2 linked regions of the Callithrix jacchus genome follow. The protein of the gene in region 2 interacts with the protein of the main gene of each other region in a biochemical or structural test. Links are inferred from orthologs where the notes say so. Each region holds a gene or a part of one and is shown on either strand. Other genes may lie near its edges.

The links. The genes of interacting proteins can lie anywhere in the genome.
Region 1: the proteins of SOS1 (region 2) and ITSN1 form a complex in vitro, tested with the Homo sapiens proteins (2 studies listed by BioGRID, with this or other methods). The link is inferred for Callithrix jacchus from reciprocal best matches to the Homo sapiens genes SOS1 and ITSN1.

What each region holds. Positions count from the first base shown.
Region 1 is NC_133522.1:39,958,165-39,961,812, reverse strand, and holds part of ITSN1 (intersectin-1), read right to left. Parts: intron 3,583-3,648; coding exon 3,461-3,582; intron 2,104-3,460; coding exon 2,021-2,103; intron 1,702-2,020; coding exon 1,618-1,701; intron 839-1,617; coding exon 665-838; intron 1-664. UniProt on the Homo sapiens protein: Adapter protein that provides a link between the endocytic membrane traffic and the actin assembly machinery. Acts as a guanine nucleotide exchange factor (GEF) for CDC42, and thereby stimulates actin nucleation mediated by WASL and the ARP2/3 complex.
Region 2 is NC_133515.1:75,897,839-75,902,245, forward strand, and holds the start of SOS1 (son of sevenless homolog 1), read left to right. Parts: upstream 1-1,564; 5' UTR 1,565-2,000; coding exon 2,001-2,087; intron 2,088-4,407.

The sequences.
Region 1 (3,648 bases), on a different chromosome or scaffold from region 2:
AGGCTGGTCTTAGACTCCTGGGCTCAAGCGATCCTCCTGCCTCAGTCTCCCAAAGTGTTGGGATTCCAGGCCTGTACCACCATGCCCAGTGGTGATTTTTATTGGGTTGAGGGAGAGACAGGTAGTTTCTTGGAATCATGGGGCCAAGACTATTCTTTTCCCAGCCCAAGCAGAAAGAGAAGGCTGGTTGAAGAAATGATTCATCCAACACGACTGCATCCGTTTGCCTACTTAACTGCCACAGAAATGCCACCCAAAGGGACCTGGCCGATTCTGAGGCTACTGCTGTGGGCTAACATTCTTGTTCCATTAGCCAGTTTCAAACATTGCCAGCACAGCTTTTTTGCCAAGGACTGAAGAACTATGCTGAGGCTCTTAAATACACCCGTCTCCAGAGTCACTTGCTTTAGAAAGCAGAAGATGGTAGTGTTTGCCCAGGGCAGCTGGCACAGTTCTAGACCAAGCATGCTCTGTCCACATGTGATGAAACGCCTCCAGAAGACACCTCCAGGGGAGACGGAGCCTCGTCTTGTGCCAGCCAGCCTCATCTCTTGGGAGGGAAACCCCAGGAATCCTGGCACCAAGTCCCCAGGTAAGAAAACATGAACCCACACAAACTAGCACCAGGGAAGAAGGAATCACCTCAGGGCCGCATTCTACTCACCATCTGGTGAAAACTGGTCCCTCTCAAACACAGTGATGCAGAGGACTTCCTGCTCCAGGTCTCGGATGAAAAACTGGCAGTTGGAGTTCCACTTGGGGTTTAGAGTGTCCTGGATTGTCTTAGTGATGTGGCATTGGGAACCCATGGTCACCTCGCAGTATGGGTTGCTCTTCCCTGGAGGGAACAAAAGCCTTTACCAGGTGGAAATCACACCTCATTTTGATCCCCACTCTTTTTTTTCTTTTTTTTTAGATGGAGTCTTGATCTGTCGCCCAGGCTGGAGTGCAGTGGTACGATCTCAGCTCACCACAGCCTCCACCTCCTGGGCTCAAGTGATTCTCCTGCCTCATCCTCCTGAATAGCTAGCATTGTAGATGCCTGCCACCACGCCCGGCTAAGTTTTCTTTTTCTTTTTAGTAGAGACAGAGTTTTGCCATGTTCGCCAGGCTGGTCTTGAACTCCTGGCCTCAGGTGATCTGCCTGCCTTGGCCTTCCTAAGTGCTGGGATTACAGGTGTGAGCCACCACGCCCAGCCAGCACCCCTCTTAATAACTACCACGCTTAATAAGTGGCAGATATTTCACCTGGATTTCAATGGAGACTCCAGGTGAAAACCCCCAGAAGTCAGGTTCATCCTTAAACTAAGCTCAAATAATTAATTACTTGAGTGGGCTTTGAAACTAGGCCCTTCCTGTCTCCTCACTTTGGCCTTATTCTGTGTCACAGCCACTGTGAATGCCGCCACTCAGATCCCTTGGAGAAACAGAACGGTAGGAAGGATTTTAAAAAACAAAAAACCTCCAGGTTTTTAACAAGTGCTAGTTAAACCAATTCGGGAAGGAGATGGGGAGTATGGAAATAGCACATTCAATTTGGAGCTGGGTGGGGGTGTGGGGAACGCAGACCCAGCTTCCAACCCTAAAGCAGGAGCCTGGACCACCTCAGAGCCTTACCATGTGACCGACAGGGTTTCAGCTCAATGCCTTCGACCACGTTCACCATCAACCTTCCAATGCCTGTTGCCCTCTGGGAACGGACTATGATGGCAGGAAAAACGCAAAACGCTTCATTTGAACATACAATGCCTTTCCCATGTCTGCGAGCCTCACGATTCATGTCATGGACCTCTCCCTACTCAAAAGTAATTCTCCCCTCCTCTCCTTAAACTCTGGCTTCCTTGCTCCTGGCATTTGCCCTCCATCCCCCGTTCGCATCTCACCCCAAGCTCTCTTTCATCCCATCTCACGCCCCTCCTCTAGGTCCAGGGGAATCTTCTATTTGGAGGATTCTCAGCCCAGCCAAATGGCCCTCCCTCCTGCCCAGCTGTGTGGGACACCCCACAGGGCCATGCATTACCCAGGTACGCTTTCTCGCGCTTCTTTTTCTCAGTCTCTATGTAGAGTTCAGAAGCAGCTTTGATTTTCTGCACCCAGGCAGTCCTTGGACAGAAAAAGACAGAAAGTTGCCAAACAGAAACTCAGGAAAAGGGCTTCAGGTCTGTTCAAACACTGTTGCCAGGACTCTGTTTTCTTTGTTCATTTGATTTTAACAACAAAGGCTTGGGAAAGAGAATCTGATTTTATGTCACGTGATGCTAATACTTACTCCTGCCGTCAATAGTAAAGGCATGAGGGCCATTTCCATGGATGACCTCAAGACCTGAATTCATGTTCCAGGGGAAGAAAATATGTGATAGATGCCGTCTTGGAGGCCACATCAGGACACAACTCCTCTTCCTTCCTTACTAAAGGCCAGCACATATTTGCCTAACCCAGGCCAGAAGGATCTTGTTTATGAAATCACCCAAAGGAAGAACAAAAGCCACTTCCCAGATTGGGAACCACTTCACATGAAAGAGCAGAATGCCCCGGAGGGAGACATTTGTGGCTGCTGTTTTCTCCTTCATTTTTTCTGAGAACCATATGCACAAAAGCTTTAGCCAATTTTCTTGCTTGGTGCAAATGCTCTTTGGAATGATGCTGGCCTTGTGTCAAGTTCACCCTTCAGAAAATGATCTGTTTCATTTGGCTCCAGGGCAGAGTCTTGAAGACAGATTGAAGCAAAATACCCACAGCCCTAGGTTCCAGAAGCCCTATTTAAGTGAGCCCAGGTGAGGAAGGGTTTGGGGCTGGGTGGTCCTATTAACTCCGAAATCGCTTTCTATTGCTTTCTGCCACCTGGGAAGCCAGGGGAAACGTGAGATGCTCCGTTTACCTCAAAGAATGCTACATGTTTCAAACAGAAAAAAGAAACTGCTGTGTGCAGTGGCTCATGCCTGTAATTCCAGCATCTTGGCATTTTGGGAGGCCAAGGCAGGTGGATCCCTTGAGCCCAGGAGTTTAAGACCAGCCTGAGCAACATGGCGAGACCCCAGCTCCACACACACACACACAAAAAAAAAAATACAAAAAATTAGTCAGGCTTGGTAGCACATGCTACCTGGGGGGCTAGGGTGGGAGGATTACCTGAGCCCAGGAGGTTGAGGCTGCAGTGAGCGGTGACTGTGCCACTGCACTCCAGCCTGGGTGACAAAGTCAGACCCTGCCTTAAAAAAAATAAAATAAAAACAAAACTCAAGCAAAATTAGTTTCAATCCATGTTATTTTGCAAAGTGCATGCCATGTGTCAGATTTTTGAGGGGCCGTAGAAAGAAGTAACAGCCCCATCCCCACTGCCAGCCAGAGGTATGGCGTTGCCGCTTGGGAAACATTGGCACCTGCTATTAATCACATGCCCCTTGTGTCTCCCAGAGCCAGGGGGCCCCGGGGCCCAGTGCTGGGGAGGGGCAGGTCTTACCTTTCATTTATGCTTTCTGCCCGGAGGGTATAGACTCGGTCAATGTGGGAAATGTGGAAGATGGGCTCATCTCCAGAAGGATCCGTGGGTAATTTTACTAGAACCTCATTTAGAAAAATAGGCTGGAAAGTAACACACAGGTATTACAAAGCGAGGCTGGGGGTCTGTGTGCTCTGGTAAACCATGAG
Region 2 (4,407 bases):
TGTGCGTGTTTTGAGATGGAGTCTCATTTTGTTGCTCAGGCTGGAGTGCAGTGGCACAATCGCAGCTCACTGCCACCTCTGCCTCCTGGGTTCAAGGGATTCTCCTGCCTCAGCCTCCCAAGTAGGTGGGATTACAGGTGCTCACCACCATGCCCAGTTAATTTTTCTATTTTTAGCAAAGACAAGGTTTCACCATGTTGGCCAGGCTGGTTTCGAACTCCTGACCTCAGGTGATACACCTACCCTGTCCTCCCAAAGTGCTGGCATTATAAGGCATGAACCACCTTGCCCACTGGCCTGTATATTTTTAAAGGAAATAACTGAAGACTTTCTTTTTTTTTTTTCTTTTTCAGATTTTCACAGAGGTCCTGTAAAGATTATGAACCACTGAACATTTCTCATCTACGTGATCCTGGCTGTTGTTCTTAGGAATAGCAGGACACAATGTCAGCTTCAACCCAAGCTAGTTCCTCTAAACTGCATTCTTATCGGTGAAATGAAAATAATAGGGTTGCTATGGGGATTAAATCAGATGATACTCCAGAAGTGATCATTAATGATAAACCATGAGGTGTCTGCCACAAAGTGCCACTATTATAAACAGTGGCCTGGAGGGACAGTTTATATATACCGGTCCTTTAGCATTCCACTTTCACTGAGTGCCTGTTCTGTGTGGAGGACCTGGTGAAAAAAATCTGCCTTCCAGTTTATTATGTAGTTGAAAGAACCACAAAAGATACAAAACACTATAGACCAAATGCCCTGAGAGAGGAATAAGTGCAGTGTTCTGGGAGCTTTAGAAGAGGTCTCAGTATCCATTGGAGGAAAGTGCTTATTGGAATTCATATTTGGAGAGGGTTGAAAAGATGAACAAATGCAATCTAACACACACAGAAAATCAATACTACATGTACACATTTTATTCTTGATGACGTGGAAAGACCAGTTAAAAACACTGCGATCACTTCTATTGCCCAGCAGATACTTAGCAGTAGGTTTCGAGACAGAGCACCTGTATATTTTGTCCGGTCTGTTTACTATACATTGCGTGCTGGGCAGTCCTTATCTTTGTGTTCGGGAACAAAGTACACACGCCCCTTTCCGAAACGAAAGGCCCAGGGACTCAGAGAGGGGTAGGAGCCCTCACGGCTAGACCACACAGTGGGGGCTTCTTTACCGTAGTTCTTACCCCCTCTGCAGGCCCCACTTTGCCAGGGTTCGATTTCTCGGGCCCTTTCGCCCCTCCTCAGGAGTCCCCAGGAGCGCAACCACAGCCCGGTCAGGCGCCCTGCCTCCCTTCCCCACTCCCCCCGCCCCCAGCTTCCCTCCTCCTTCACCGGGAGCCGGAAAACCCGGAGCGAACCAGCCCAGCCCGGCAGCGCATGCTCAGTAGCGCGCAGGTTCAGTTTGCTAGTAGGAAGCTCCAGCGCTACACCGGCGGCGGCAGCGGCGGCACCTCAGGGCAGCCAGATTCCCCAACAACGACCTCGGGTCCTTCCCCTTCCCCGCGAAACCCCCTCCCCCAGCTCCGCCCCACCCGAGGGCTCTTGCGTTTCGGAGTCTCAACTGCGCGGAGCGGGCGCCGCGGCCAGAGCGTCCCTCCACACGTCCTCCCCCAGCCGCCAGCTCTGCCGCGGGGCCAGGCCGGACCCGGGAGTGCAGCCCCGGCAGGCGGCGGCGGTGTAGCGGGCCGCCCGGGGCGGCGCCGGCGGGCCAGGGAGGGGCGGGGGGGCCTGGCCCCGGGGCGGTGGTGCGGGATGCCGCCGCCTCCGGGTCGCATTCGTTCTCCACGGCTAGTACCCGTGTCGGGTGGGTGGCTGGGCGTGGGCCTCGCCCTTCAGCCCCCTCGCCAGGGCTAGCCCGGCTGCGCGGCGCCCGGAGGGGGCCGGGCCGTCCGGTGGGGCCGCGGCCCTATTCCGCGCAGCGAGCTCGCCCTCTCGCGGCTCCCCGGCCGGGCCGCCGCCGCCCCTCTCCCCGCCCAGAGGCGCCCTGGGGGCACCATGCAGGCGCAGCAGCTGCCCTACGAGTTTTTCAGCGAAGAGAACGCGCCCAAGTGGCGAGGACTGCTGGTGCCTGCCCTGAAAAAGGTGAGGAGCACGCCGGACCCCGCTTCCCGGCCGCAGCCCCCCAGCGCGGGCGCCGAGCAGGCGCAGGGGAAGGGCTGGGGAGGCGGGGCGCGCGCGCAGGGCCGTCTTTCTTCCCTGTCTCGCCGCGTCTCCGAAAGGACGGCGCACACGGGGAGGTCCCCCACACGGCTGGCTCTCAGTGTTGACATCCACCCGTAGTGTGGGAAGGCCGCGGGGAGCCGCGGGCAGTTGCTCCGAATAATCCAACCCCGAGAGGTGAATGCTTTGCCCTTTGATTCCGAGACAACGGTTGGAGAAGCCTCAGTTTTCAGTGGAGGTCAAAGCAGGCCACTTTTCCGCCTTCTCGGTCTTAGCCCGGAGCTGTTGTCAGCCTCATGTTTTAGGTGTCCAGTATGCTCGTTTTAGTGGCTTGAGAATGCCCTGGCCGTAACGCTTGCTCTAAGGAATTGCGAGCTCGCCTGCCAGCAGGAGCGTGGCCTGCTCCGCTCGTCCTCAGTAATCACTCTCTGTTCTCCTGATCTCCCCTGCTCCTCGGATTAACAGGGGCTGGTGCACATGCTACCAATTTCAGGGGTTTTGTTTTGTTTTTGCGGCATTCGAGATTCTTGGTGCTGTCATTTGGCTTGTTAAGAATTTTTAGTCTTTGTATGTTTAAGTTTGCTGTGTTTTTAAATGTTTTAGTATAATTAGGAAATGTTACATTTTTAAAGCTTCTAGAGCAACAGTGTACTAGACTATTTTTGTTTCCTTTTCTTCATTTACCTTTTCTACAAAGATTGCTTTACTCATCTAAGAGTGTTTCTAAATCTGTTTCTTGCTGCTCGAAGACTCTTTCATGTTAATTAGTTAACATATAGTTTTGCTTCTACTAAGAATGGAGATTATGTTGTACCTTTTATGCTAAGCATTAAAAGGTGTCTGATAGTGCTTAAAGGCCAGTAACTTTTACTTTCCCCTTTGCCCTGTTCTCTTGTCCCTCTTGCTATCTTACAGTGGAAACTATTTGGTTTGTTAGGAGAATTTGCTTATGTATTTCTGACTTAAGTTACTGACATTTTCCCCTTCAGGTGTCTGACTAGTCACGAACACCTATGTGATTTTTCTTTTTTTTTTTTTTAAAGAAAACCAAAAAGATGCCATATATCCTTTTCTTTTCTTTTTTAAATAAGATGGGGTTTCACCATGATGGCCAGGCTGGTCTTGAACTTCTGACCTCAGGTGATCCACCCACCTCGGCCTCCCAAAGTGCTAGGATTACAGGCGTGAGCCACTGCACCCAGCCGCCATATGTCTTATGTACTTTAATCCTTAGAAATCCCGTCAGGTTCTCACTACTTACTTTTGCTTTACCTGCAAGTTTGACTTCTTAGCGTGTAATGGAAGGGGTTTAGGAGGTCTCTGTGCTGCCAGAAGCTGATGTCCAGGTAGGGTAAGGGAAGACAGGGAAATTGTTTAAAAACCTGTAAAGGAACTCATAAAGCATTGCCAAATAGGGGCCATTTTGCTTAGAGGCAAAAACAGCTCCTATCCCGGGGGAATCACCAAGCTATCAGCTTAGGATCTTTTGAAGTAGTGGAAGAATACTGTAGGAGTTGACAGACCTTGTTTAATTCTGCCATGCTGGTGGCCCTTGCTGAAATCTGTCCCTAGAAGCATTTTGTTTGGCTGGCACAGTGTTGTTTTATTTTTAAATGTAATTAGTTGCTGGCATTTGAAAATGGGAGATATTACATAAAATCTGAATTTTCAGCTTTTCTTGAAGAATAGGAAGTTCTTGCTAGTTAGGGCCTGTATTCCAGCAAGGCACTAAACTGCTGGAGGTGAGTAAATGGTTGTCCTCTTTAGACAAGGCATGTATCTCCACCTTACCACAACCCCCACTTGTCCTCTTTGTTTATTTACGTAAACCAACTTTTGAATTTAAGGTAGAGATACTTTTGCAGTAAGTGATAGAAGAAGGTGGAAGTATACATAATCTAGCTAATGTGTAAGGTTCTTCCAATTCTTAAATAGCCAATAACTATGATTCTAAGACAAGATTGAAAATACAGTGTATTTCATATCTGGATATGTTGTCCGTAGCTCCAAACCTACATTTTTACCTGCCTGCTGGACATTTCATGTGGATATCTCCATATCTTGATTTCTTTTGATTCACTATTGAATTATTTATAGATGCATCCAACTTGTGCTCTCTTACTCTTACCTGAGGCTCTTTGGACATGCTAGTCCCCTCACCTTTCTTTGCCTGATCCAACACTACTCATCCTTCTAGACTTACTCAACCTGGACTATCACATCAGGGCTGAGTTGGATATTA